4 linked regions of the Anolis sagrei genome follow. The protein of the gene in region 1 interacts with the protein of each later gene in a pairwise test. Links are inferred from orthologs where the notes say so. Each region holds a gene or a part of one and is shown in the gene's direction. Other genes may lie near its edges.

Evidence for each region.
Region 2: the proteins of MAX (region 1) and PLEKHF2 interact in binary tests that used the Homo sapiens proteins (3 or more experiments, as listed by UniProt). The two-hybrid records come from large-scale screens. The link is inferred for Anolis sagrei from reciprocal best matches to the Homo sapiens genes MAX and PLEKHF2.
Region 3: the proteins of MAX (region 1) and MXI1 interact in binary tests that used the Homo sapiens proteins (3 or more experiments, as listed by UniProt). The link is inferred for Anolis sagrei from reciprocal best matches to the Homo sapiens genes MAX and MXI1.
Region 4: the proteins of MAX (region 1) and UNC45A interact in binary tests that used the Homo sapiens proteins (3 or more experiments, as listed by UniProt). The two-hybrid records come from large-scale screens. The link is inferred for Anolis sagrei from reciprocal best matches to the Homo sapiens genes MAX and UNC45A.

Annotation. Positions count from the first base shown.
Region 1 is NC_090021.1:232,298,978-232,306,033, reverse strand, and holds the start of MAX (protein max), read left to right. Parts: upstream 1-4,056; 5' UTR 4,057-4,335; coding exon 4,336-4,371; intron 4,372-7,056. UniProt on the Homo sapiens protein: Transcription regulator. Forms a sequence-specific DNA-binding protein complex with MYC or MAD which recognizes the core sequence 5'-CAC[GA]TG-3'. The MYC:MAX complex is a transcriptional activator, whereas the MAD:MAX complex is a repressor.
Region 2 is NC_090024.1:33,460,229-33,468,001, reverse strand, and holds the start of PLEKHF2 (pleckstrin homology domain-containing family F member 2), read left to right. Parts: upstream 1-4,750; 5' UTR 4,751-4,874; intron 4,875-7,773. UniProt on the Homo sapiens protein: May play a role in early endosome fusion upstream of RAB5, hence regulating receptor trafficking and fluid-phase transport. Enhances cellular sensitivity to TNF-induced apoptosis.
Region 3 is NC_090023.1:210,017,250-210,024,698, reverse strand, and holds the start of MXI1 (max-interacting protein 1), read left to right. Parts: upstream 1-4,428; 5' UTR 4,429-4,593; coding exon 4,594-4,900; intron 4,901-7,449. UniProt on the Homo sapiens protein: Transcriptional repressor. MXI1 binds with MAX to form a sequence-specific DNA-binding protein complex which recognizes the core sequence 5'-CAC[GA]TG-3'. MXI1 thus antagonizes MYC transcriptional activity by competing for MAX.
Region 4 is NC_090029.1:22,659,880-22,667,146, forward strand, and holds the start of UNC45A (protein unc-45 homolog A), read left to right. Parts: upstream 1-4,246; 5' UTR 4,247-4,309; coding exon 4,310-4,498; intron 4,499-4,593; coding exon 4,594-4,630; intron 4,631-6,383; coding exon 6,384-6,559; intron 6,560-6,775; coding exon 6,776-6,868; intron 6,869-7,267.

The DNA of each region.
Region 1 (7,056 bases):
CCAAGCCCTCCCAACACAGAGCCACCCAGCTCCAGATGAGATTCTGGAGATCGTTGACCAATATCAGTGTTCAGAAAACTCTGGTTTTCCAGTGCTGCCATTCCTATGCTTAAATATGGGATTCTAGAAATGGTTAATATACAGTATACGAGAGTGTTCCCAACTTTTGTCTTCCAGGTGTTTTGGATTTCAAATATTTATTTATTTATCGTGTCATCAGCAACCATTGTTTTACAATTCTAACAGAGCAAAACAAACACAGAGATTAAAATGAAAAAGAAAAGAAAAAAGAAAAAAAAACCACACAGATTTTGTAAATTTGGTATTTGGTTAAATGTCCTTTGACCAGTATCAAATATGTTTTGGTGCTTAATTTGTAAAATCATAATGTAATTTGACACTTAATAAGCTTTTGCTTGATCCCTCCATATTATCCAACATTTTCGCTTATCCAACGTTCTGCCGGTCCGTTTATGTTGGATAAGTGAGACTCTACTGTATATCAAATACCATCTGGTCCAATCCATCAAACACTGTTTTGTTTGATCTGTCTTAAATCTGTCTTAAATTTTTGCCTGTGTGAGTTCTTTAGCTTGACATTTTGCATATCTAAAGAAGGTAATGCCCTGTTTATTGCCCTGCTTCTCTCCTTAGGATTCAGTTTGATGAATGTTTTCTTTGTTCTGTTTATGTGAGCCTTTTCCTGTGTATGTGTGCGAGTTTCTCATGGCTAAATTCTTCTAACATTGAAGAAACTGAGTTTATTTATCTAGCCCTTTTTTTCTATACTAAGTGCAAGGACCAGGCTGTGGCACAGCTAGTTAGTAGCCAGCTGCATTAAATCACTACTGAATGAGAAGTCATGAGGTCGAAGCCAGCCTGGGTCAGAGTAAGCTCCCGACCATTAATAGTCTAGCTTGTTGTTGACCAATGTAGCCTAAAAGACAGTTGCATCTGTCAAGTAGGAAATTTGGGTACTGCTTTATGAGGGGAGGCTAATTCAACTAATTTACGATGCCATAAAATCTTCCAGCAGTGTGCAGAATAATGAGGAAGTACTTCATCAAAGGACTCAGTGTCACAAGTGGACGGTGAAGTGGCAGCTCCCCTGTGGCTGGAACCGAGCATACCCTCATGAAGCCAGAAAAGCTGGAAATGTTAAATTGCCTCTGTGTCTGTCTATTTATGTTTATTATTATTATTATTATTATTATTATTATTATTATTATTATTAAACTTTATTTATACCCCTCCACCATCTCCCCAATGGGGACTCGGTCCAGCTTACATGAGGCCAAGCCCAGAAATGCATTACAACAAAATAAAGCCAAAAACAAACAAACAAACAAACAAACATCACAATAAAACAAATAAAACATAAAAATACAATAAAATAATACAAAAATACAGTAATAGATAAATCACAATCACAGTGAGTGGGCCATATGTACAAGTTAAAATGATAAAAACTCAGGATGAGATAGAAATTAAATGCAAATAATTGTGAAGGAGAAACTCATTGGAAAATGGAGTAATGGAGACAGACCTTCAAACAGGCAGGGGGAAGTACAGTGTGGGGACAGACATTATGGGGGAGCAAACAAAAGGAGATGTAGGGTCACTCTCCAAAAGCGCAGCAGAAAAGCCAGGTTTTGAGATCCTTCTTGAAGGCTGCCTAATCTTACCCAGAGTAGTGGGGCCACGGAGGAGATGGCTCTCTCCGTCATTCCCATAAGCCAGGCCTGTGAGAGAGGAAGGGCGAAAGGAGGGCCTCTCCCGAAGATCAAAGAGAGCGGGCTGGTTTGTGGAAGGAGGTAGGTGGGTTCCAAACTGTTTAGGGCTTTATAGGTGATCACCTGTACCTTAAATTGGGACCGGAAAATAAACGGCAGCCAATGGAGCTCCTTAATGGCATTAGAATCATAGAGTTGGAAGAGACCTCATGGGCTATGGTCCAACCCCCTGCCAAAAAGCAGGAAAACTGCATTCAAAGCACCCCTGACAGATGGCCATCCAGCCTGTTTAAAAGCCTCCAAATAAGGAGCCTCCACCACACTCCAGGGCAGAGAGTTCCACTGCTGAACGGCTCTCACAGGAAGTTCTTCCTCATGTTCAGATGGAATCTCCTCTCTTGCAGTTTGAAGCCATTGTTCCATGTCCTAGTCTCCAGGGAAGCAGAAAACAAGCTTGCTCCCTCCTCCCTGTGACTTCCTCTCACATATTTATACATGGCTATCATATCTCCTCTCAGCCTTCTCTTCTTCAGGCTAAACATGCCCAGCTCTTTAAGCCGCTCCTCACAGGGCTTGTTCCTCAGAACCTTGATCATTTTAGTCGCCCTCCTCTGGACACATTCCAGCTTGTCAATATCTCCCTTCAATTGTGGTGCCCAGAATTGGACACAATATTCCAGGTGTGGTCTAACCAAGGCAGAACAGGAGCATAGTGTCTAGATCCAGGGAAGTCATGATACACCCCTTAGCATGACTTCCCTGGATCTAGACACTATGCTCCTATTGATGCAGGCCAAAATCCCATTGGCATTGGATGTTTGCCATGTATATGTGCATTGCATTCCATCTTGAGTCCCCTGTGGGGTGAGAAGGATGAAATATAAATACTGTAAATAAATAAATATACTATTGCTATTTATTAATCAAATTAAATTAGATTCAAATGAGGTCCTCGTCCTTGTCCCCTTCACTCAGGCCCGTAGCCAGGATTTCGATTCGGGGGGGGGGGGGGCTGAGTTTGTTTCGGGGGGGGGGCTGAGTCTGAGTGAAAGAGGGTCTACCCTAGCAAACCTTTTGTATAGTTACTCCAATACCCCCATGCATATGGGATATATTGAGCATGGTGATCAGATCATGATATGAATAAACATAACAGTTTAAATAATGCACGAGTAAGGCCTTTTCGCGAACCACCATGAGAATTTCGGGGAGGGGGGGTGTGAAGCCCCTCAAGCCCTGGCTACATGCCTGCCTTCACTACAACTCTCATGATTTCAATGGATTGATCCATAGCAATTAAATTGGAGTGAAACTACACTTCTTCCACTGTGTAGACCAGGGGTCCTCAAACTAAGGCCAGGGGCCAGATACAGCCCTCCAAGGTCATTTACCCGGCACTGGCTTAGGGTCAACCTAAGTCTGAAATGACTTGAAAGCACACAACAACACCAATCCTATCTCATCAGCCAAAAGCAGGTCCACACTTCCCGATGAAATACTAATAAGTTTATATTTGTTAAAATTGTTCTTCATTTTAATTATTGTATTGTTTTTTAAGTGTTTTTTGTATTACAAATAAGATATGTGCAGTGTGCATAGGAAAGCATGAATGCTTTTTTCAAATTATAATCCAGCAGCTTGAGGGACTGTGACCTGGACCTCTGTTTAAAAAGTTTGAGGACCCCTACTGTAAATAAATATACTATTGATTAATCAAATTAATCAATTGATTAATTGATTAATCAAATTAATTGAGGTTCAAATGAAATCCTCGTCCTTGTCCCCTTCACTACAATTCTCATGTTTTCAATGGATGGAGCCATAGCAATTAAATTGGGAGTGAAACTACGCTTATTCCACTGTGTAGACGCTCCTCAAGTGGTTTCTAAACGTGACACGTCGTGCTGTGTTGTTGTTTGTGCCCCTTATTCTCTTTGACTACAAACAGCCAGGGTCGGGTTACATAATCGGCACAGCTTCCTTCCCTCTTCGAATCTCTCTCCTGGCTCTTTAAAAGAACGAGAAAAACACCGTCCAGAAGCGAAAGGGGGGAGGTGGTTAAAAGCGTCCCCTTCCGGCTTCCATCCACGTGTCCTCTTCCTCAGCCTGCCGGGAAGCAGAGCCCTTCCTCTTTCGCTCAGGAACTCCGTTTCCTATCAGCGACCGCTGAGCCAAGGCGCATGCGCGCGCGGCGGCATCCAACGCCCGCCCCCGCCCAAGAGGCTCTCGGGAAGGGTAGTTCAGAGCGGCGTGCTCTCGCGGGCGCTGTGCTGGCGGAAGGACTTCATCCCCCGGCATGCTTTGCTGAGTCGTTGGATGTATCTGTGGTAAAAGAAGGGAGAAAAAAAGAGGGGGGGCATTCGTCACGTGCGGCGCGAGGTGCGTGTTCCGTTGATGCTGGTGAGGGAAGAGGAGGAGACGACGACGACGACGGAGGAAGAGGAAGGAGGAGGAGAAGAGACGGCGACGCTGTTGCTGCCAGGGGCCTGTTGTCGTCGCCGACGCCGTCGCTGTCGCTGCTCCTCTCCGCGGCGGCTCGGCCCAGCAAGGCCCCGGAGGAGACCCCGCCGCCGCCGCCACCACCACCGCCACCGTGGGCAGCATGAGCGACAACGATGACATCGAGGTGGAGAGCGACGTGAGTTTCCACCGTCCCGCAGAGAGGCTGCTGACAGTAGTGGCGCCTCGGCCCCTCTCTCGTTCGCCCTGCCTCACAGCCAAAGGTTCAGTCTGCGCGACGCCTCTCTGCCTTCCCTTCGCTTCAATGGGGCCCCTCAGGAAGGGAGAAGCCCCCCCCCAGTAGGCCCCCCGGGGTGAGGGAGGGAGGGAGGGCCTGCTCGCCCCCGGAAGTAGTAAAGGGGAGGGAGGCGGGGTCAGTTGTGTCTGGGAGGAAGGAGGTTGGAATCGAGGTAGGCCTGGGACGTGTTTGGGTAACTGGTGGGAGAGGGGAGGGGGATGAGGAGGGAAGGAGTTGGGGGGAGTTACGATGGGGAGTTGGGGACAGTGGGCAGCTGGATTCGAAGTCTTGTGCCTTTCTAAATACTCCTAGGATTTGGGATTTTGAGTACATGTTTGGCTAGACGTGGGTGGGATTATGTACAGTGGCATAGTAAGAAAATGGCAAAATAAAGGTTTGAAATTGGAATACTGTTCAGTATGCGTTGGCTGGGGGTGGGTGGGTAAGAGGAAAGGAGATGGGAAGGATGTTGCATTGTGCATTTTGTTTGTGTTTAATTTTTTTAAAAAATTGTTTTATATTGGTCTGGTGTATTATTCTTGGGCTTCTCCTCATGTTACCCACCCCGAGTCCCCATTGGGGAGATGCTGGCAGGTGTAAATAATATTTTATTTATTTATTTATTTGGTAGTTTTGTATACCGGTCTTCTCACCTCCATTCGAGGGACTCGGGGCCATTTCCAACATCAATATTACAGACCGCCATTAAAACATAATATTTCTAAATCACACTAAAACATTAAAATATTGAAACAATTAAAATGACAAAAATACAATCATATGATTACAGTGGTTAGTCGTCATCAAAGTCATTATTCGTCGTCATCCATCCATATCACAGGATCACGGCTCATTCATTGAATGCCAATCCCCAAAGCCAGGTTTTCACCTGTTTCCTGAGTGTTAAGATCGAAGGGGCAGTTCTGATCTCCAGTGGAAGGGAGTTCCAGAGTCAAGGGGCCAACACCGAGAAGGCCCTGTCTCTCGTCCCCACCAGCCGCGCCTGTGAGGCCGGTGGGATCGAGAGCAGTGCCCCTCCAGAAGATCTTAGTAATCTTGATAGCTCATAGGGGAGGATTCGTTCGGACAGGTAAATTGGGCCGTATAAAACTTTTATACCCCAGTCTTCTCAACCTCTACAGAGGGACTTGGGCCGGCTTACAGCATAAATTAGTACACAAATACAATTAAAAACATAATCACATCAAAAAGTTAAATACAACAGAATAAATTCACAAACCAAGTCGCCAAGATAAAATAAAATAAACTTTATTTCTATACCGTCGTATCTCCCCGAGGGGACTCAGGGCGGTTTACAACAGAAGATTGGCAAACATTCAATGCCGGCATAACATAAACAAATCAAATCAAATCATAAACAATAAAATAAACAACATCAGGTGTACTTATAGAACAACTCAAAAATAACAAACTTAGATATTTAAATATATAAATCAAACATTTAGAACATGTTTACTACTAGATCTAATGATAGCAAACACTCAAACATTATAAGTAAAAAAGGCATTTACAAGTCAACAGGGCTGAGGTGGTGTCCAAGTCAGAGTGATTAAGGTGCTGGCCAGGGCTGAGGTGGTGTCCAAGTCAGAGTGATTAAGGTGCTGGCCAAAGAAAACTCTTATTATTAATGAGATGGAGGGGATTGATAAGGGGGGTGGCTCTTCTGGACTCTTGGGCCAGTTCTTAAACACGCTTCTGGAATGAGCTTCGTGTATTCCAAGTAGACTGGAACGTACTTAGTCCAAATCTTTTTGATACTGGTTTTAAACCACTTAATTGGATGTGTTGCAATAGCAGATTTCCAGGTTAGTTTAGTGTTTACACCTTATTTTATTTTCTGGTTATTTAATGTTTATTTTGCTTAAGTGATATTTGTCTTTACTGTTCTAATGTAGCTCAAATCCTATATAAAATCATAGTATGTATTTTTGACATTAATATTGAAATCTGAAATATATACAGAAAGTGTTGTCTCTTTGCAAGTACAGTGGAGTCTTGATTATCCAACCTTCGCTCATCCAAAGTTCTGTATTATCCAATACAGTCTGCCTGTTTCAATACATTGCAATGTTTTGGTGCTAAATTCATAAATACAGTAATTACTACCTAACGTTACCATGTATTAAACTGCTTTTTCTGTCATTTGTTGTAAAACATGATGTTTTGGTGCTTAATTTATAAAATCATAGCACAATTTGATGTTTAATAGGCTTTTTCTTAATCCCTCCATATTATCCAACATTATCCAGTGTTCTGTCATCCCGTTTGTGTTGGATAAGCAGATTCTACGATCCTTTATTTACCAGCTGCTGTCCGTTGAACAATTTGAAGCTTCTTGGTAATTTTTGGGATTTGGTTCCAGGACTCTCATTGATACCAATATCTGTGAATGCTCATATTCCATTATATAGAGTAAGATTGTATTATCGTGGTTCTTAAGTAAAAATACTTTATTTCTAACCTGCCCTCTCTCCTGGGGGGGACAGGACTCAGGGTGGTTAGTAACAAAAATGGCAGACATTCACTGCCTAAAACAGACAAACAACAAGTCAAGACAAAAATAAT
Region 2 (7,773 bases), on another chromosome or scaffold:
ATTTCATTTTCCTCACTTCCTGTTTTTTATCCCATCACCCACCATTTCACGCTCGGTTTTAATTATACTCTTTTGGGATTTCTTTTTGCTCCTTTAGGTCCTCTATTTGCCACTTCTAAATATTTTTCTACCTTTGCAAACTTTGGCTTTCTCCCAAGCAAACTGCCACCTTACTCTTATACTTGGATGGTGACGTTTTGGTTACATAAGGAAAAACACTTGGAGAACCGAGCTTGTTAATAATACTCATGATGACATCTGGTTTAGTCAGATATTAAGCTGGAAAGTTAAGCATTGATGTTTCTTATGAAATAGATTGCCTTGCATAAAAATACTGTCTTGACACAATGCAAGGGTGCATTTTAACAGAAGCAAAAAAAAAAAAGCAAAAATGCAATTTTTGAAACAACTTGATATATTGACAAGGAACACAGTGGTGATAAACATCATAACTACTGTTTATAACCATCGTAAAAAAAAGGTAAATGTATACTATAGTATGAAACTGCACATTTGTCAAAGAAACAGACTTTTAAATAAACTATACACGAGGAGACAGGAATGTGCATTTCTCAAGGATGAACTTTACAACCATTTTAGGGAAAAGGCCAAAGGGAAGTGATATGTGTTTATAAGGGGCTCAACTGAGACGTGTAAATGGGATTGGACGCACTGAAGGGAGCATGTCTAAATGATTGGTCGCATGGAAATAAAGGAAGCCTTGCTCAGGTTCAATGCCATAAAGTCTAAAAGAATGATTAAAGAGATACTGCTGTTCACCAACACTTAAAGAAATAATGGCTGTATTATTCACGTGTCAAACCCAACACAGTCATCTCCAAAAATCTGTATTCTTAAAATGTACTGTTATTAGAGATGTATTCTGTGAGCAGTCCATATATGGCAGTATGCCGCTCTGGTTCTGAATGAGTTGAAAGTGGTTTGAGGTTGAAGGCATACTCCGCGTGTGTGGCTTGTCATTGTGGTTGCTGGCTGTGTGATGTGTGTTTGTGGGTGCTACAGGGACAATTCAAACACTGGGACCTAATGAAAAGGCACAATATTTCTGCTGGCTATTCCAGTTAGTTGGCCATTTGTCATGCTATGGATCTCTTTGTTTATCTAAATCTATTCATCCAGTATTTATATCCTCTTCTTCAACCACAAAGGGCCCTTTCACACAGCTGAATAACATTCAATTTTCTGCTTTAAACTAGAATATATGGCAGTGTGGACTCAGATAACCCAGTTCAAAGCAGATGTTGTGGGATCTTCTGCCTTGATATTATGGGTTACATGGGTGTGTGGAAGGGCCCCCAGTGTCTCAGAGCAACTTACAAAATTTTCCTGGCAATCTACCACAAATAGGACAAGACACAAAAGGAGAAGAGGATGGTAGTGGGGAAGGAGATTAAATCTATCAGATGCTTCCTAGTACCATTAGCTATTTTCTCCCTAACTCTGGGCCCTTCCACACTGCCCCTTTATCCCAGGATCTGATCCCAGATTATCTGTTTATCCCAGGTTATCTGGCAGTGGGGACTCATATATTTAATCTTAAAGCAGATAATCTGGGATCAGATACTGGTTTAAAAGGCTGTGTGGAAGGGCCCTCTATTAACAATCAATTTACACTCAGTTCTTGTGGATTTTTTCGGGCTATATGGCCATGTTCTAGAGGCATTTCTCCTGACGTTTCGCCTGCATCTATGGCAGGCATCCTCAGAGGGTGAGGGTGGCTCAGATAACCCAGTTCAAAGCAGATATTGTGGGATTTTTTTGCCCTATATTCTGGGATATAGGGCTGTGTGAAAGGGCCCTTTGCCACTCACCAAACCTTGCTCACTCAGCTTGCTCTCCAGTACTTGGGTTCTGTTTTGGCAACAGAAGGAACAATATTCTGTCCAAAGAACAGAAATAGAGGACATTCAATTGGAAAAGAAAGTCAAAATTCAAGTTTAGCAGCCATGACACAGCATTCAGTGCTAACAGGCTGTTTATAGTTACCTGTAGCTCAATGCAAACTTGGGCCCTCCCGCTAGATGTTTTGGACTCCGGACTCCCACCATTCCTAACAGCCTCAGGCCCAAGGTTTGTAGCTTGGGAGTTTTCCTGGATTCATTGTTGAGCCTGGAATTCCAGGACTTGGCAGTGGCCAGAGGTGCTTTTGCACAATTAAAACTTGTTGCACCCGTACCTTGGGAAGTCTGACTTGGCCATGCTCTTGTTACATCAAAGATAGACTACTGCAACACACACAATTTTTTTTGAGTGAAGGCCATACATTGGGTTGTTAGGTGTCTTGTGTCCAAATTTGGTCTCAATTCATCCAGTGGTTTTTGAGTTTTGTTAATTCCACAAACGAACATTACATTTTTATTTATATAGAAGATTGTAGGTACATATAACTTACTAGCTGTCCCCTGCCACGCATTGCTGTGGCTCAGTCTGTGATCTGGAAAATAAAGTAATGAGAAAGTGTTGGTTTCTAATATATGTAATTTCTTTATGCTTGTGGGTTAACAGTATTTCTTGCTGTTTCTTTGTCAGTGTTGATGTCAAGAGTGTCAGGTTTGCCCACTTTGAAACATGCAACTATAACTGTCCTTCTTTAGGGGTCCCTTTCAAATCTATGATACTATATCTCTCTGTGTGTGAATCATATCTATCTATCTATCTATCTATCTATCTATCTATCTATCTATCTATCTCTATTCCTGGATGGCTCTTTGTCAGGAGGACTTTGATTACCTTTTCTTGCCCTGATGAAGGGAGTTGGATTGGATCGCCTTAAGTATTTTCTGTTGTCATGGGGGTTGTGTGCGGGAAGTTAGCCCCAAATCTGTTGTTTGTGGGGTTCAGAATGCTCTTAGATTGTAGGTGAACTGTGAATCCCAGTGACTACAACTTCCAAATGTCAAGGTCTATTTTTCCCAAATCCACCTGTGCTCATATTTGGGCGTATTGAGTGCTTGTGCCAAGTTTGGTTCAGATCCATCATTGTTTGAGTCCACAGTGCTCTCTGGATTTTTTTTGTCGTGTTAGGAGCAACCGCTCCTGTTGTGAGAGAATTGGCCGTCGGCAAGGACTTGCCCAGGGGACGCCTGGATGATTTTTGATGTTTTATCATCCTTGTGGGAGCCTTCTCTCATATCCCCGCAAGAGGAGCTGGAGCTAATAGAGGGAGCTCATGCACCTCTCCCCGGATTCGAACCTGCTCTCTGGATGTAGGTGAACTACAACTCCCAAACTCAAGGTCAATGTCCACCAAATCATTCTAGTCTTTTCTGTTGGTCATGGGAGTCCTGTGTGTCACCTTTGGTCCAATTCCATCATTGGTGGAGTTCAGAATGCTCTTTGATTGTAGGTGAACTATAAATCCCAAGAACTACAACTCCCAAATGACAAAATCAGAAAGTTTTGAGTGAAGGCCATACATTGGGTTGTTAGGTGTCTTGTGTCCAAATTTGGTGTCAATTCGCCCAGTGGTTTTTGAGTTATGTTAATCTTACAAACGAACATTACATTTTTATTTATATAGAAGATTGTATTGTCGAAGGCTTTCATGGCCGGGATCACTGGGTTGTTATAGGTTTTTCTGGGCTATATGGCCATGTTCTGGAGGCAATTTTTCTCCTGACGTTTCGCCTGCATCTATGGCAAGCATCCTCAGAGGTAGTGGGGTCTGTTGGTAGTAGGAAAAATGGGTTTATATATCTGTGGAATGACCAGGGTAATGTTTCAGCTGATTATTATTATTATTATTAAACTTTATTTGTACAAGCATGTGGACAATTTCTGTTGAAATTGTCCACATGCTTGTGGATATCAAAGGCTTCTCTGTGTAGTCTGACATGGTGGTTGTGAGAGTGGTCCAGCACTTCTGTGTTCTCAAATAGCATCTCCCGAAGGATTCGATGTGGCTTACACAGGCCGAGGCCTCAACACACAACACAACAATACAATCTAAGCAAATCAAACAATTAAAAACAGAATAAAGCAAAATAAACAACAGGCACAATACACTAAACACAATAAAACTGGGCCGGGCCAGAGCAATGGGTACAAGATTAAAAGTGCTGATGTGACAGGAGGTGTATATAGGGCTTCCAGGGCAAGTGCGATGTGCGATGTGCAGCAATCATTGGTTCTGATAAAGTGCTTATGGGACTTGGTAGTGGAGATTTCCTAATCTGGGAAGGTGCATTGGAAAAGCCAGGTCTTCAAGTTCTTTCTGAAGACAGCCAATGTAGGAGCCTGTCTAAGGTCTTTGGGGAGGGTGTTCCAGAGTCGGGGGGGGCCACCACGGAAAAGGCCCTGTCCCGCGTCCCCACCAAGCGCGCTTGCGACGCTGGTGGGATCACGAGCACCTTGATTTGTATTCAATGGCCTGGAAGCGCCTGGGGGGAATCTCTTGTTGAGAGTGAATTGAAGTGCCTGATTGTATAGAGAAGATTATAGGTACATATAACTTGTAAGCTGCCGTGAGTCCCCTTCGGGGTGAGAAGGGCGGCGTATAAATGTCGAAAATAAAGAAATAAATGAGGCAAATAAATAAATAAATAGGAATGGAGGGAGTTGAGAGTCCAAAACAGCTGAAGAGAGGGCCCAAGTTTGCTCAGGCCTGGTGTAGAGGCGTCCAAAGAGGAGCTCTGAGGGTGAAAACCGTGGGGGCGGCCTACCTCCCTCCCTCCCAAGATGGCGGCGGCCCCTCCTCCTCCTTCTCCCTGGGGCGGGATGATGGCGCCTCCTCCTCCTCCTCTCTCTCTCCCTCTCCGGGCGGGGCAGCAGGACTTCCAGCAGTAGCAGCAGCCGTCGACGGAGCGAGAGGAGAGGAAAGGGAGCCGGGCAGGAGGGCGCCCATCGGCTTCTCCGTAAGCAACCTCTCGGCGCCGCTTTTTTTGGGGAGGGAAGAGGGAGTGAGGGAAGGAAGGAGAAACTTTGCCTCGCGCTCCTCCTCGGGGAACCCGCGGCCATGTTGGGATGGGATCCCGCCACTCGGGGGATCTCTTCCCGTGAGGAGGGGAGGGGAGAAAGGAGAAAGCGAGGCCCGGGGGGGGGGGGGGGAGGACGGGTCTCTCGGCTCCTTTCGTGCCCGTCGAGGGCCGGCTGCTTGGACGACAATTTGGCCGAACTCTTGCCCACTTCCGCGTGTGTTTCCCAAAGTGTGACAAACTGAGGAGGGAGGGAGGGAAACTCCTGGCCCTCAGGGGATGGATGCCCCCCCCCCCCCAAATAGGCACAGCCCCAGCAAGTAGGCATTCGGATAGTTGTGTGTATATATGTAATGTGTGTGTGTGTTGAAGAAAGGATTGCAAACTTCACTTTCACAATTTCTCTTGCCATTTTGCCACACCTTGCTTACTACTGGAAGTGTTATTTCTGTCAAAGTTGTGTACAAAACTGAAGAAAAGGGGATTCATTTACACATACACACATACAGAGAGAATCACACACACACATACAAATGCATCACTTTGCTTACTACTGGGAAGTTGTGTTCCTGTCAATGTTGTGTACAAAACTGAAGAAAAGGGGATTCATTTACACATACATACAGAGAGAGAATCACACACACGCAAATGAATCACTTTGCTTACTACTGGGAAGTTGTGTTCCTGTCAGAGTTGTGTACAAAACTGAAGGAAAGGGGATTCGTTTACACATACACACATACAGAGAGAATCACACACACACACAAATGCATCACTTTGCTTACTACTGGAAGCGTTATTCCTGTCAAGGTTGTGGACAAAACTGAAGAAAAGGGGATTCATTTACACATACACACAGAGAGAGAATCACACACACACACAAATGCATCACTTTGCTTACTACTGGAAGCATTATTCCTGTCAAGGTTGTGGACAAAACTGAAGAAAAGGGGATTCATTTACACATACACACAGAGAGAGAATCACACACACAAATGCATCACTTTGCTTACTACTGGGAAGTTGTGTTCCTGTCAAGGTTGTGTACAAAACATAAATAATGTCTCTGTTTATGTAGAATAAAGGATTGCAAACTTCACTTTTGCACTTTCCTTTGCCATTTTGCCACACTTTGCTTACTACTGGAAGCTTTATTCCTGTCAAAGTTGTGTACAAAACTGAAGAAAAGGGGATTCATTTACACATAGAGAGAATCACACACACACATACACACACACACACAAATGCATCACTTTGCTTACTATTGGGAAGTTGTATTCCTGTCAAAGTTGTGTACAAAACTGTAGAGAACGGGATTCGCATACTCACAAATATGCACAGTCACACACACACACACACACACATATACACACATACATGCATCATGCTTTGCTTACTATTGGGAAGCTTTATTCCTGTCAATGTTGTGTACAAAACTGAAGCGGAGATTCATATGTGTACATAAATAATGTCTCTGTGTTTGTGTGTATAATTTATAGATAGATAGATAGATAGATAGATAGATAGATAGATAGATAGATAGATAGAGAGGGAGAGAGAGAATAGAGGATTGCAAACTTCACTTTTGCACTTTCTTTTGCCATTTTGCCACACTTTGCTTACTACTGGAAGCTTTATTCCTGTCAAGGTTGTGTACAAAACTGAATACATACACACATATAGAGAGAATCACACACACACACACACACACACACAGAAATGAATCTTTTTGCTTACTACTGGAAGTGTTATTCCTGTCAAAATTGTGTACAAAACTGAAGAAAAGGGGATTCATTTACACATACACACATACAGAGAGAATCACACACACATGCATCACTTTGCTTACTACTGGGAAGTTGTGTTCCTGTCAGTGTTGTGTACAAAACTATAGAGAACGGATGCATTTACACACAAATATGCACAGTCTCTCCCATATATATATATATATATATATACACACACACACACACACACACACACACACACACACACACATGCATGCATCACGCTTTGCTTACTATTGGGAAGCTTTATTCCTGTCAGAGTTGTGTACAAAACTGAAGCGGAGATTCATATGTGTGCATATATAATGTCTGTGTTTGTGTGTATTATATATATATATATATATATATATATATTGAAGAAAGGATTGCAAACTTCACCTTTGCACTTTCTCTTGCCATTTTGCCATACCTTGCTTACTACTGGAAGCTTTATCCTTGTCAAAGTTGTGTAGAAAACTGAAGAGGAGATTCATATGTGTGCATATATGATGTCCCTCTGTGTATATAATTTTTTTATATATATAGAGAGAGAGAGAGAAAAGAAGAGATTGCGAACTTCACTTCTGCAATTTCTCTTGCCATTTTGCCACACCTTGCTTACTACGGGGAAGTTGTATTCCTGTCAACGTTGTGTACAAAACTGTAGAGAACAGGATTCATTTACACACAAATATGCACAGTCACACACACACACACACATATATACACACACATACATGCATCACACTTTGCTTACTATTGGCAAGCTTTATTCCTGTCAAGGTTGTGTACAAAACTGAAAAGGAGGAGATTCATATGTGTGCATATATAATATGTGCATGTGTGTATATATGTGTGTGTGTGTTTAAGAAGGAATTGCAACCTTCACTTTCACAATATCTTGCCATTTTGCCACACCTCGCTTACTATTGGAAGCTTACTCCTGTTCAAATTGTGTACAAAACCGAAGAGGAGGAGCTTCATAATACAGTGTGTGTGTGTGTGTGTGTGTGCGCGCGAGGGTTTGAAACTTCACTTCCACAATTTCTCTTGACATTTGCACTTGGGTTATT
Region 3 (7,449 bases), on another chromosome or scaffold:
GTATTTTACAGCACCATAAAATAAATACCAGAAAAATGCCAGCAATCGAAAGGAAGAAGTCTGTGATCAAGGCTCTTTGTTATAGAGGATGGAGCAACAGCGCCCCCTGTGGCTGGAATTGAGCAAAACCTCCAGGACAACAAAGATGGGAAAATTGTCAACATAAAACATACCTCTATCTGTTGTCTGTCCTATCTGTTTAACGGCATTGAATGTTTGCCATGTATGTGTTCTGTGATCTGCCTTGAGTTCCCTTCAGGGTGAGAAGGGCGGAATATAAATGCTGTAAGTAAGTAAGTAAATAAATAAATAGACTTTGGCTCAAAAGGAAGCAATATGGCAACAGCTTAACTGCATACAGTGGGCCCATACTATTGGTTGGAGTTTAGTTCCAGAACAACCCATAGATACCAAAATCTATAGATGCTCAAGTTTTCCTCTTCCTCTTCCTCTTCCTCCTCCTCCTCCTCTTCCTCCTCCTCCTCCTCCAAGCCTTCATCAAGGCTTGAGGCAGGATACAATAATACATAGATTAATATAATAAGATCATTAAAACACATGTATTAAAAGACAGGGACCCATGATTAAAATATAAGCCAGGGATGACTGAATCTGTGAATGGCTGAATCCACGGACACAAAAGGCCAACTGCAAATGGGTTCTGAAGTGCAGTGCTTTATTATCTTTTAAAAAATAATAGTTTGAGTGGCCTTCACAAATGATACAATATCTACTTAATCTTGATAGAAAAAGAAAGAGGGAGACAAGGGGGGAAAGGAAAAATGCAAAAAAAATCTTTCAATTCTATGCTGCTTTTTACACAGAGAGAGACAGAGAAAAAGGGTGCATTTACAATATGGAAGGAATGCTGCTTGCCACCACTTTAACTGAGGCAGATCGGTAGAGTCCTGGGAGTTGTAGATTTACAAGATCATTAGCCTCCTCTGCCAAAGAGTACTGGTGCCTCATGAATCCACAACTCCCAGAATCCCACAACATTGAGCCATGACAGTTCAGGTGGTGTCAAACTACATTCATTCTATGGTGTAGATCCACCCAATATTGACACATTCCTTCGACCGAGAAACTTACAGTCCATATTCAACAGCCCTGGCCCAATTTACCTGTCCGAATGCATCTCCCTCTATGAACCACCACAGAGATTAAGATCTTCTGGGGAAGCCCTGCTCTCAGTCCCACCACCATCACAGGCGCATTTGGCGAGGACAAGAGACAGGGCCTTCTCAGTAATTGCCCCTCAGCTATGGAACCCCCTTCCTAATGAGATCAGGTCAGCCCTCTCCCTCTTGTCCTTTAGAAGGATGATAAAAACGTGGCTGTGGGACCGAGCCTTTGGGACTGTGCAATGAGGCAGCGATAGGAACCCTTAGTATGCCAACCATATTCCATATGGTTGTTGAGACAGTTTTGACTAGTGGATGTTAACATCAAGATAAGTGATTTTAATGCTTTTGTATGTGTATGGTCTAATATGTTTCAGCATTGTATGTTTGCCATTTATATTTTGTGCTCCACCCTGAGTCCCCTTCGGGGTGAGAAGGGCTGAATATAAATGCTTTAAATAAATAAATAAAGCAGAGAAATGCCTTGCTATGTCAAGTTGAGTGAAAGAATGGCCAGATAGACAAATAGATGAAAAAGAAAATGTGTGTATGAGAGATTTGGGGATAGATAGATGGATAGATGAGAGAGAGAGAGAGAGAATGGGATAGATAAATAGATGAAAGAAGCAGGGAGGTGTGTGTGTATGAGAGAGAGATGGGAATAGATAGACTAATAGTTGAGAGAGAGAATAGCCAGATAGACAAATAAATGAGAGAGAGAGAGAGAGAGGTGTATGAGAGATAGATGGGAATAGAGGGATAGAGGGATAGATAGATAGATAGATAGATAGATAGATAGATAGATAGAGAATGGGATAGATTGTCAAATAGATAAGAGTGAGAGAAGTGTGTTTGAGAGAGGGGGGGATAGATGAAACAGAGAGTGTGTGTATGAGAGAGTTGGCAATTGATAGATGGAAGAGAGAGAGAGAATTGGATAGATAAGTAGATGAAAGAAGGGGGAGGTGTGTGTGTGTATGTATGAGAGAGAGATGGGAATAGATTGACTAATAGCTGAGAGAGAGAATGGCCAGATAGACAAATAGATGAAAGAGAGAGAGGGGTGTGTGTGTATATGAGAGACAGATGGGAATAGACGGATAGATGAGAGAGAAAGAGAGAGAGAGAGAGAGGATTGAATAGATTATTAAATAGATAAAAGTGAAGTGTGTTTGAGAGAGAGATGGGAATAGATAAAAGAGAGTGTGTGTGGGAGAGTTGGGGATACATAGATGAGAGAGAGAGAGAGAGAGAGAGAGAGAGAGAGAATGGGATGGATAGATAAATAGATGAAAGGGGGGAGGAGGTGTGTGTGTATGAGAAAGAGATGGGAATAGATAGACTAATAGTTGAGAGAGAGAATGGCCAGATAAACAAATAGATGAAAGAGAGGTAGGTGTGTGTGTGTGTATGAGAGAGATGGGAATAGACAGGTAGATGAGAGATAGAAAGAGAATGGGACAGATTGTCAAATACATAAAAGAGAGAAAAGTGTGTTTGAGAGAGAGATGAAGATAGATTAAAGAGAGTGTGTGTATGAGAGAGTTGGGGATAGATAGATGGAAGACAGAGAGAATGGGATAGATAAACAGATGAAAGAAGGGGGGGGGGTGTATGAGAGAGAGATGGGAATAGATTTACTATTACAGTGGTTCTCAACCTGTGGGTCCCCAGGTGTTTTGGCCTACAACTCCCAGAAATCCCAGCCAGTGTACCAGCTGTTAGGATTTCTGGGAGTTGAAGGCTAAAAACATCTGGGGACCCCAGGTTGAGAACCACGGGACTATTAGTTGAGAGAGAGAATGGCCAGATAGACAAATTGATGAGAGAGATGAGTGTGTGTGTGTGTGAGAGAGATGGGAATAGATAGACTAATAGTTGAGAGAATGGCCAGAGAGAGAGAAATAGATGAAAGAGAGAGAGAGAGAGAGAGAGAGGTGTGTGAGAGAGACAGATGGGAATAGACAGATAGATGAGAGAGGGAGAGAGAGGGGGGGGGGATAGATAAAGAGACGAAAGAAGGGGGAGGTGTGTGTGTGTATGAGAGAGAGATGGGATTGACTATTACAGTGGTTCTCAACCTGTGGATCCCCACGTGTTTTGGCCTACAACTCCCAGAAATCCCAGCCAGTTTACCAGCTGTTAGGATTTTTGGGAGTTGAAGGCAAAAAATATCTGGGGACCCACAGGTTGGGAAACCACTGGACTATTAGTTGAGAGAGAGAATGACCAGATAGACAAATTGATGAAAGAGAGAGAGAGAGAGAGAGAGAGGTAAGAGAGAGAGACAGATGGGAATAGACCAGTGGTTCTCAACCTTCCTAATGCCGTGACCCCTTAATACAGTCCCTCATGTTGTGGTGACCCCCAACCATAATATTGTTTTCGTTGCTACTTCATAACAGTCATTTTACCACTGTTATAAATCATGTAAATATCAGATATGCAAGATGTATTTTCATTCACTGGACCAAACTGGGCACAAATACCCAATGCAACCACATGTAAATGCTAGTGGGGTTAGGGGAGGATTGATTTTGTAATTTGGGAGTTGTAGTTGCTGGGATTTATAGTTCACCTATAATCAAAGAGCATTCTGAACTCCACCAGCGATGGATTTGAACCTAATTTGCCACACAGAACTCCCATGACCAATGGAAAACACTGGAAGGGTTTGGTTTGTATTGACCTTGAGTTTGGGAGTTGTAGGTCACCTATATCCAGAGAGCACTGTGGATCTGGACCAAACTTGGCACAAATACTCAATATGCGCAAATGTGAACACTGGTGGAGCTTGGGGAAAATAGACCTTGACTTTTGGGAGTTGTAGCTGCTGGGATTTATAGTTCATTACAATCAAAGAACATTCTGAACTCCACCAACGATAGAATTGGCTCAAACTTCCCATATGGAATCCCCATGACCACCAGAAAATACTGTGTTTTCTGATGGTCTTTGGCGACCTCTCTGACATCCTTCGCGACCCCCTCAGGGGTCCCGACCCCTAGGCTGAGAAACACTGGAATAGAGGGATATGAGAGAGAGAGAGAGAGATTGTCAAATGCATAAAAGAGAGAAGTGTGTTTGACAGAGAGATGGGGATAGACGAAAGAGAGTGTGTATGAGAATAGATAGATGGATAGATGAGAGAGAGAATGGGATAGGTAGACCAATAGATGAAAGAGAGAGGTGTATGTGTGTGAGAGAGAGAGACTAGATAGACCTACGGATAGCCGCGCGAAAGGGAAACCCAGCTCGCACTAGGACCTGCGGGGAGTCTTTGAATGAAGAGGTCCCTTGATTCATTCAATCTCTCCTAGACATATACACACTGGCTGGCTCGCTGGCTGGCTCACACAGGCAGGCGCGCGCACGCACGCAAGCACACACACACACAAACTGCAACAAGAGGAGGAAAGTCGGCCAAAAGGGCTTTAGAAACCCCAAAGTTTCCACCCGCAGGAGCGACATGGGGAAACGTGGCAGGCCGAGGAAGGAGCTGCGGGGCGAGGGGGCTGCTGCTGCTGCTGCTGCGGTGGTGGTGGTTGCGGGGCATCCTCCTCCTCTTCCTCTTCCTCCTCCTGCGCCCCAGGCTCCGGGTCTGCCTTCGGGGTCGGAGGCGCTGCCCAGGTGGCCCTTGAGTGACATCTTCAACCACCCCAGCAGCGAGGAGGAGGAGAAGGACTCCATGGAGCGGATCAACACTTTCCTCCAGAATGTGCAGATCCTGCTGGAGGCAGCCAGCTACCTGGAGCAGATCGAGAAGGAAAACAAAAGTAAGTGGAGTTGGGCTTGGGCTCCTGCTCCTCCCTGCCTGCCTGCCTGCCTGCTGCTGCTGCTTCTTAGAGGAGGACAAAAAATAACAATAACAAGTGATAAAGGTGGAAAATCAGTCAGAACATCACTCTATCCAGTGACAACAGGAGGTGGAAATATGAAAATATGCAACAAGACTGAACCAATTGAGCCAGATTAAACTGTGGCTAGTTTCAGGTCCAGCAGAAAGAAAGAATGCACTGGGCTGCTGTAAGTTTTCCGGGCTGTATGGCCATGTTCCAGAAGCATTCTCTCCGGACGTTTCGCCTGCATCTGTGGCAGGCTATGCCTGCCACAGATGCAGGCGAAACGTCAGGAGAGAATGCTTCTGGAACATGGCCATACAGCCCGGAAAACTTACAGCAACCTAGTGATTCCGGCCATGAAAGCCTTCGACAACACAAAGAATGCACCATTTAAAGAAGGGGGGAAGGGAGAGTGAGAATGATCCATTTAGGGAAACCTCTCTTGGAAACAAAAACACCCTCTTCCCCTTTTTTTTCTCTCTCCATGTCTTCATAGGATTTTTATGACATGTTTTGCTCTTCAAAGGAGGCACTTAATATGTCAAGAAATGCCAGGAAACTGACCAAACTAGGCAACGGGAGGGGGGGGGGATCTGGAGCAGGGAATGCAAAACAAACTTTATGACTCTTTGCAAAGGGAAATCCAATATATATATTTAAAGGAAGGGAGGAAAAAAGGCTTGTTTATATTGGTCAACTCGCCTCCCCCTCCCTTTGCGAGCTTAAGAGGAGAAAATCCAGTGAAATGGAACAAAAGGGGGGACGAGATAGACAGGCACGGATAGGATCTCCCCCTTTTGCCCCCCTTTGTGGGGGGAAATCTTAGCCAAATATTGCTCTCTCCCCTTTCTTTTTTTTCTCCTCCCCCCTTCCTTTTTTTTGGCTCATGTTGCCGTCAGCGAAAAAGAATAATCCGCCGAGAATGGCTCGTTTTGCAGCGTCTGTCGAGAACAATAACAAGCCGGGACTCAGTGGATGCAGCCAGTTTAATCACCCCGAAGGTCAGGAGGAAAAAGAGAAAAGGAAGAAGGGAAGGCAGAAAAGAAAGAAAGAAAGACAGGCCCTTACAGTGGTTCTAATTGTTCCATAGGGGGGTCCTTATTTTTTTTTTAAAGAGCCCCTCTTCTGTCCCCCCCCCCCCCCAAATCCAAGCATTTTCCCAGCCTATTTTATAAAGCATCTCACTTCCTTGGTCTTTAACTTCATTGTTTACATGCTTCAAACTGTGTTTTGGTATCTCAGGTTGAAAAGCTGGGAAATGGGATCATGATAGAAAGAAAAATAAGGATTCCCCCTTCTGTCTCCCTCTCCTTCTCTCCCCCCCCCCCCCCCAAGAAAAGCCAGGTATCATCTTAACCTGGTCTGTTTATTTCAATATCTAACTTCCTTGGTCTTTAACTTCATTGTTTGCATGCTTCAGACTGTGTTTTGGTTTCTTAGGTTGAAATGGGATCATTATAGGAAGAAAAATAAGGATTCCCCTTTCTGTCTCCCTTCCTCCTCCCTCTAAGAAAGCCAGGTATTATCTTAACCTGGTCTGTTTATTTCAACATCTAACTTCCTTGGTTTTCAACTTCATTGTTTGCATGCTTCAGATTGTTTTTGTTTCTATCTCCTTGGGTTTAGAAGAATAGAAAGGGGTTCCGTATAGGAAAAAGCAAGGCTCCCCCTTCTGTTTCGCTCCCCAGCGCAGATTTTTTCCATTGCAGTCCAACTCCGCTGCTTCGCCTTTGTTGCTGGCTTGCCTTCTTTTATTTATTTATTTATTTATATTTCCATGAAGAAGTGGCTCGCTCTGGGTATTGTTTGCGGGTGGATGGTATGGAGCGCAAGGCCAAGACTTCAATAAAGGTGGTTTTATTTTTAAGTCTTCCTCCTCCTTTCTCTCATTTGAGTTTTTGCAAGGGGGCAAAGCAAGGCCTGGCTGGCATCAAGGGGTGGATGTGGAGAAGGCAGGCTTGCTGGTCCAGCCAGTTCTTTGCCCCAACCAGACTTTTTGTTTTGTTTTTTAAGGGTGACTTTTGGTGTGTACCTTCCTCCTCCCTTAAGGAAGAGAAGCCAAGTGAATGGAGGACAGGTTTATCTTCAGCACCACCACCCTGTTCCTTTATTTCCTTATTAAGTCAGTCACGTAGGCAAAGGAGTCATCGCCAGGTAGACCAGGGAGCCAGTGGAAGGAAAGAGAAGCCAGTTGTTGTTGTTAGGTTTCTGGCTTCTTTTCTAGAGGACTTGGCCAGAGTAGGGCTAATCAGGTTAAACTGGTCACCTCATTTCATTCAAGTAGGTGATGTAGTGGCAATAGATATATACATATCTGGGTCAGCCTTGCAGTTGTCCTCCTCTCACTACTCTTTCTCCTTCTCTTCTCTTTCTCTATGTTTCTCTTCCCCGTCATTCTCTCTATTTCCCCTTCTCATTGTGTCTTTCTTTCTCTCGCTCCCCCTTCTCTGTCTTTCTCTCTCTTATCTCCCCTCCTCTTTCTA
Region 4 (7,267 bases), on another chromosome or scaffold:
GATCTAGACCATGCCTGGGCAAATTTGGGGCCCACAAGTGTTTTGGACTTCAATTCCCACAATTCCTAACAGTCTACTGGCTAGACTATTAATAGTTGGGAGCTATTGTTGACAGCAAGCTAGACAATTAATAGTTGGGAGCTTATAGTTGGGCTGGAGGTCTAGCACAGCTGGTAAGTCAGCAATTATAAGATCTATCAATCAAAAGGTTGCAAGTTCAAAACCCTGGGTTGGTGTGAGCTGCCAACTGTCAACCTAGCTCATTGTTTACCTAAGCAATTCGAAAACAGCTTTAGCTGTGATTAGAGAAATTAAGTACGGATAAATAGGTAAATATGACGCCATAAAGAAAAAAGATCAGAAAATACTGGGCGACCAAAAGGAAGGAGGAAGTCATAGAGGAATGAGCAACAGCACCCCCTGGACTTGAGCCCAACCTTCCATGGCACCTTCTTCTGTTCTGTGTATTGTCTATACCAGGGGTCCTCAAACTAAGGCCTGGGGGCAGATACGGCCCTCCAAGGTCATTTACCTGGCCCTCGCTCAGGGTCAACCCAAGTCTGAAACGACTTGAAAGCACACAGCAACAACAACAATCCTATCTCATCAGCCAAAAGCAGGCCCACACTTCCCATTAAAATACTAGTAAGTTTATAATTGTTAAAACTGTTCTTCATTTTAATTATTGTATTGTTTTAAGTATTTTTGCACTACAAATAAGGTATGTGTAGTGTGCACAGGAATTTATTCATATTTTTTCCAAATTATAATCCGGCCCTCCAACAGTTTGAGGGACTGTGACTTGGCCCTCTGTTTAAAAAGTTTGAGAACCCCTGGTCTATACAAAGCGGCATTGAATGTTTGCCATGTATGTGTACTGTGATCCGCCTTGAGTCCCCTTCGAGGTGAGAAGAGCCGAATATAAAGAAAGTGTTATTATTATTTCTACTACTACTCTGACCTGGGCTGGCTTTGAACTCGTGACCTCTCAGTCAGTAGCGATTTGAAGCAGCTGGCTAATATCTAGCTGCACTACAGCCTGGTCCTTTGTCCATGCCTGATCTAGACACTAGACACCAAATTGGGAGGTATAGCCAATACTCCAGAGGACAGGAGCAGGATTCAAAACGATCTTGACAGATTAGAGAGATGGGCCAAAACTAACAAAATGAAGTTCAACAGGGACAAATGCAAGATACTCCACTTAGGCAGAAAAAATGAAATGCAAAGATACAGAATGGGGGACAATGCCTGGCTTGAGAGCAGTACATGTGAAAAACAACTTGGAATCCTCGTGGACAGCACGTTAAACATGAGCCAACAATGTGATGTGGCGGCAAAAAAGCCAATGGGATTTCGTCTGCATCAATAGGAGCATAGTGTCTAGATCTAGGGAAGTCATGCTCCCCATGCTCTATTCCGCTTTGGTTAGACCACACCTAACCACACCTAATTCTGGGCACCACAATTCAAGAGAGATATTGACAAACTGGAATGTGTCCAGAGGAGGGCGACTAAAATGGTCAAAGGTCTGGAGAACAAGCCCAATGAGGAGCGGCTTAAGGAGCTGGGCATGTTTAGCCTGAAGAAGAGAAGGAGATATGAGAGGAGATATGATAGCCATGTATAAATATGTGAGAGGAAGCCTCAGGGAGGATGGAGCAAGCTTGTTTTCTGCTTCCTTGGAGACTAGGACGCGGAACAATGGCTTCAAACTACAAGAGAGGAGACTCCATCTGAACATGAGGAAGAACTTCCTGACTGTGAGAGCTGTTCTCTCTGCCCTGGAGTGTGGTGGAGGATCCTTCTTTGGAAGCTTTTAAGCAGAGGCTGGATGGCCATCTGTCAGGGGTGATTTGAATGCAATATTCCTTTTTCTTGGAAGAATGGGGTTGGACTGGATGGCCCATGAGGTCTCTTCTAACTCTCTGATTCTATAACTCCTTTGACGCAGTCCAAAATCTCATTGTGTGTTTAAAATGCTGCATCACACTATTGGCTCATGTTCAACTTGCGGTCCATGAAGACTTCTATGGCAAGCATCCTCTGGAAGATGCTTGCCATAGATGCAGGCGAAACGTCAGGAGAGAATGCCTCTAGAACATGGCCATATAGCCCGGAAAAACCTACAACAACCCAGTGATTTCGCAGGGACTGTTGTGAAGCCAAGCGTCACCCATTGTGCATGTCTTCCTTCCCAACCTTCTTCCTTCTCCCTCCCTTCCTTCAGTGGGGGCCCAGGAGGGGAGCCTGTGCGAGTCCTTCCAGGATCCCGAGGGCCGCCCCCACGCCGCCTTCTTCTGCCCGCGCCTCTCCGACCCCCCAGGACACGCCTTCTGTTGCCGGGGGACCCAGGATGTGGGGGCTCCTCTCCGCTTCCGCTCCTGCTGTGCGCGCCCGGATCCCAAAGAGGAGGAGGAAGAGGAAGGGGCTGCCAACCGCTCAGGGAGGTTCTTCTTCCGGTGAGTGAGGAGGAGAGTCGGGGCTGCCTCTCCCTTTTATTATTATTATTATTAAACTTTATTTGTACCCCGCTTTCATCTCCCGAAGGACTCGATGCGGCTTACAAAGGCCAAGGCCTCAACAAACAATACAACAATACAAACCAAAGGCAAATTCAAAACAATTAAAGCAATATAAACAACAAGCAATAAACAATACACTAAGACACAATAAAACTGGGCCAGGCCAGAGTAATGGGTACAGAGTAATGGGTAAACACAACATACAAACAATCTACAAACCCACCAAGAAAATCCAACAAATGCTACGTTCAGCAAAGGACAAGAGGGATCCTCTCACTTCAGCAGGAGTCTACCGTATACCATGCAGCTGTGGACAAGTCTACATAGGGACCACCAAACGCAGCATTGCCCAAACATGAATCAAGGAAAAGCACTGCAGACTACTTCAACCAGAGAAGTCAGCCATAGCAGAGCACCTGATGAACCAGCCTGGGCACAGCATATTATTTGAGAACACAGAAATGCTGGACCATTCTAACAACCACCATGTCAGGCTACACAGAGAAGCCATTGAAATCCACAAGCATGTGGACAATTTCAACAGAAAGGAAGAGACCATGAAAATGAACAAAATCTGGCTACCAGTATTTAAAAACTCTAAAATTACAGCAGCAAAACAGCAGAGAGGAAACAACCAGGCACATCTTAACACCTCTCAACAAAAGATTTTCTCAGGCTCAGCCAGGCCTTCAAATGCTAATGAAGGTGGTCAGTTATTTATTTGCCGTGTCAGAGCAGCCAGTCCATTATATTACACTTCTAACAGGACAAAGCAAACTAACAGAAAAATACACAACTTGTGAGTTTGGTAGCTGGTTAAATGTCCTTTGACCAGTATCTGGCCACTTGGAGTGCTTCCAGTGTTGCTGCAAGAAGGTCCTCCATTGTGCATGTGGCAGGGCTCGGGTTGCATTGCAGCAGGTGGTCAGTGGTTTGCTCTTTTCCACACTCGCATGTCGAGGATTCTACTTTGTAGCCCCATTTCTGAAGGTTGGCTCTGCATCTCGTGGTGCCAGAGTGCAGTCTGTTTAATGCCTTCCAAGTCACCCAGTCTTCTGTATGCCCAGGAGCGAGTCTCTCATTTGGTATCAGCCATTGGTTGAGGTTCTGGGTTTGAGCCTGCCACTTTTGGACTCTCGCTTGCTGAGGTCTTCTAGCGAGTGTCTCTGTAGATCTTAGAAAACTATGTCTAGATTTAAGTCGTTGGCGTGCTGGCTGATACCCAAACAGGTGGTCAGTTGAAACACTCACACCTAGCTCCAGCAGGGAAGAGCTCCTTGCCCCACCCCAGCCATTCCACAGATATATAAACCCATTTTCCTATTTCCAACAGACCTCACTACCTCTGAGGATGCTTGCCATAGATGCAGGCGAAACGTCAGGAGAAATGCCTCTAGAACATGGCCCTATAGTCCGAAAAAAACCACAAGAACCGAGTGATTCCAGCCATGAAAGCCTTCGACAATACAATGGGTCCTCCCTTCTTCCGCTCCGCCTGACTAAGGCCTCTCCTTCCCTTTCTTCCTTAGCGGAAGGGCCCTCCCTGCTCCCCCAGCGCTGGCGGCGGGGCTCTACGGCGTCCTCCTCCTGGCGCTCATGGCCCTCGACGGGCTCCACTTCTGTCACACCCGACGCAACTTCCGCTTCCGCCTCCAAGCCCGCGCCAGACAACTTTTCTTCCGCATCCGCTGCTGCGCCCTACTCCAGACCGGAAGTGACGTGAGAGTGGAAGGCGACAAGGTAAGACATCAGGGCGGTCTACCCTGACGTCACCTGAGCGCGCCATGGCGGAGACAGCTGAGGCTTCCACTGCCTCTTCGGAGCTTCGCCGCGAAGGGAATGTGCTCTACCAGGCTGGGCGCTTCGAGGAGGCCCTGGCCGTGTACACCCGCGCCCTCGGCCTCTGCAGCCTGGAGGAACGCGCCGAGAAGGGCCTCTTACACCGGAACCGTGCCGCCTGCGCGCTCAAGCTGGTCAGGGCCCGAAATGGGGAGGGCGCAGAGTGGGGGAGACGGGGCCTTAAGCGGGGCCTGCCTCCTCACCCTCTCTCTCCCCCTTTCTCTCGCAGGAGGACTATGCCCAAGCCGAGCTGGATGCCTCCGAAGGTAAGGAGCCCAAGAGGCTGGCTGGCCGGGTGGGGCAATGGCTCTAGGATTCTATAGTTCAGGCATGGGCCAACGTAGAATCATAGAGTCGGAAGGGACCTCATGGGCCATCCAGTCCAACCCCATTCTGCCAAGAAGCAGGAATATTGCATTCAAAGCATCCCCGACAGATGGCCATCCAGCCTCTGTTTCAAAGCTTCCAAAGAAAGAGCCTCCATCACGCTCCGGAGCAGAGAGTTCCACTGCTGAATGGCTCCCACAGTCAGGAAGTTATTTCTCGTGTTCAGATGGAATCTCTTTTCTTGTAGTTTGAAGCCATTATTCCACATCCTAGTCTTCAGGGCAGCAGAAAACAAGCTTGCTCCCTCCTCCCTATGACTTCCTCTCACATATTTATACAGGGCTATCATGTCTCCTCTCAGCCTTCTCTTCTTCAGGCTAAACATGCCCATCTCTTTAAGCCGCTCCTCATAGGGCTTGTTCTCCAGACCCTTGAGCATTTCAGTCCTCCTCCTCTGGACACATTCCAGCTTGTCAATATCTCTCTTCATACATACATAGGCTCATGGTCCTTACCAGATCCGTGAGTGTATGTGGTTCTCCTTTCAATGATATCACCCTGTAGCCTATCATCCAATAAGTATCCATGCCATTTGCAATTATTTGATTCCCCATCCGCTTGGCTCTGCCCACCTTGACGTGCTTCCGGACCACCTGGGTGCGCTCCAGGCGCTGCTCCTCGGAGATGCCGATCTCCTCCCAGATGTCATGCAGGTGCCTCAAGGCCTGGCTCAGGCAGGCCACCGACTCATCTGCCAGGACCTCGCTGCAGGGAAGCGGAAGCAAAGTTAGGAGGGGGCCCCAAATGCCATGTAGTCCAGGCATGGGCAAGCATCAGCCCTCCCTCCAAGTGTTTTGGACTCTAACTCCCACAATTCCTAACAGCCTCAGGCCCTTTCTTTTTCCCCCTCAGCTGCTTAAGCCAGACCTCTGATTGGCGGAGAAAGAAAATGAGAAACACACACAGGGAAAACGTTCAACTCCCATCATGCCCCGGGAGGGAACACAAGGCTCCTTCAATACTTGTGTAGCACGAAGTGCTGCTGGGAAAGCGAGTTCCAATTTGCCTCGAATGTGCAACTGGGGAGGACTTTCAGAAAGGGATGTCTAAACAAGGCCTGGACTACCTTGGGCCCTCCAAGTGTTTTGGACTTCTTCCAACTACACCAGTGGTTCTCAACCTTTAGGTAAAGAGCCCCCGGTGGCACAGTTGGTTAAACCCATGTGCTGGCAGGACTGAAGACCGAGAGGTCACAGGTTCGAATCCTGGGAGAGCGCAGATGAGCTCCCTCTATCAGCTCCAGCTCCTCATGTGGGGACATGAGAGAAGCCTCCCACAAGAATGGTAAAAACATCAAAACATCTGGGTGTCCCCTGGGCAATGTCCTTGCAGACGGCCAATTCTCTCACACCAGAGGCGTCTTGTAGTTTCTCAAGTTGCTTCTGACAACCCCAAGAAAAAAAAACAAACCTGTAGATCCCCAGGTGTTTTGGCCTACAACTCCCAGAAATCCCAGCCAGTTTACCAGCAGTTAGAGTTTCTGGGAGTTGAAGGCCAAAACATCTGGGGACCCATAGATTGAGAACCACTGAACTATCCATATTCATTATTACTATGGCTATTATTATTGAGAATAGATGACCCGCGGGATCCCCTGATTCTGTTATTCTGCAATTCTTTCCATTTCTCTAGCCCTCAAAGTGGATGGGCGGGATGTTAAGAGCCTCTTCCGCCGCAGCCAGGCCCTCCAGCAGCTGGGCCGCCCAGACCAGGCCATCCAGGACCTGCAGCGCTGCATCAGCCTGGAGCCCCGGAACAAGGCCTTCCAGGAGGCCCTGCGCAGCCTTGGCAGCAGCATGCAGGAGAAGGTAGGAGTGGGCGGGTGAACAAGGTGGTGGCTGCTGCTGCAGGAAACAAGCAACACCCTGTGGCCCCAAAGGAGTCCCTCTCCACAGCCAGCCCTCCCTGGCCTTGCCCAAGGTGCAGGGACTCCCCAAATTGGGGCTGGCCTCCTTCCCCACAGTCCCTAGAGAGGCTTGAAGCCGGACAGAGGAAGCCAAGCGCCTCTATTCACTTTGTCTCAGATGAGAAACATGTCCTGCACCGACTCCAAAGTGGAACAGATGTTCAAGTTGCTGCTTGACAACGAAGAGAAGGATCTGGACAAGAAACAAAAGGTGGCTCTTCTGTGGGGAAGGGAGGGGCACGAGGCATTGCCTCATGGAGAAGAGGGTGGGGCTGTGCTAGTGCAGACCTGTGCAACAGCTAGAATTAGAGGGTATTGTGCAAGGACTCAACATGCAGCACTAGAAGGATATGCCCCTTAGTCGGCTTAAGGTAGATACTTAATTACGCATAGTTTCGTTGCACTGTGATGACAGAAGCATCATGGCTGGGGTTCCCCAAGGGGGAAATCTCTGCTCTTTCTTGTTTCTCTGTTTTGGTTCTGGAGAAGCCCAGCTAATGCTGTTCTCTGCTCTTGTCATGGATTCCATCAGCTGTTACTGAGAATTGCTGACAACAGCAGAGTTCTCCCGTACCAGTTTCAAGGCTGGAGAGAGATAGCACCTGAACAT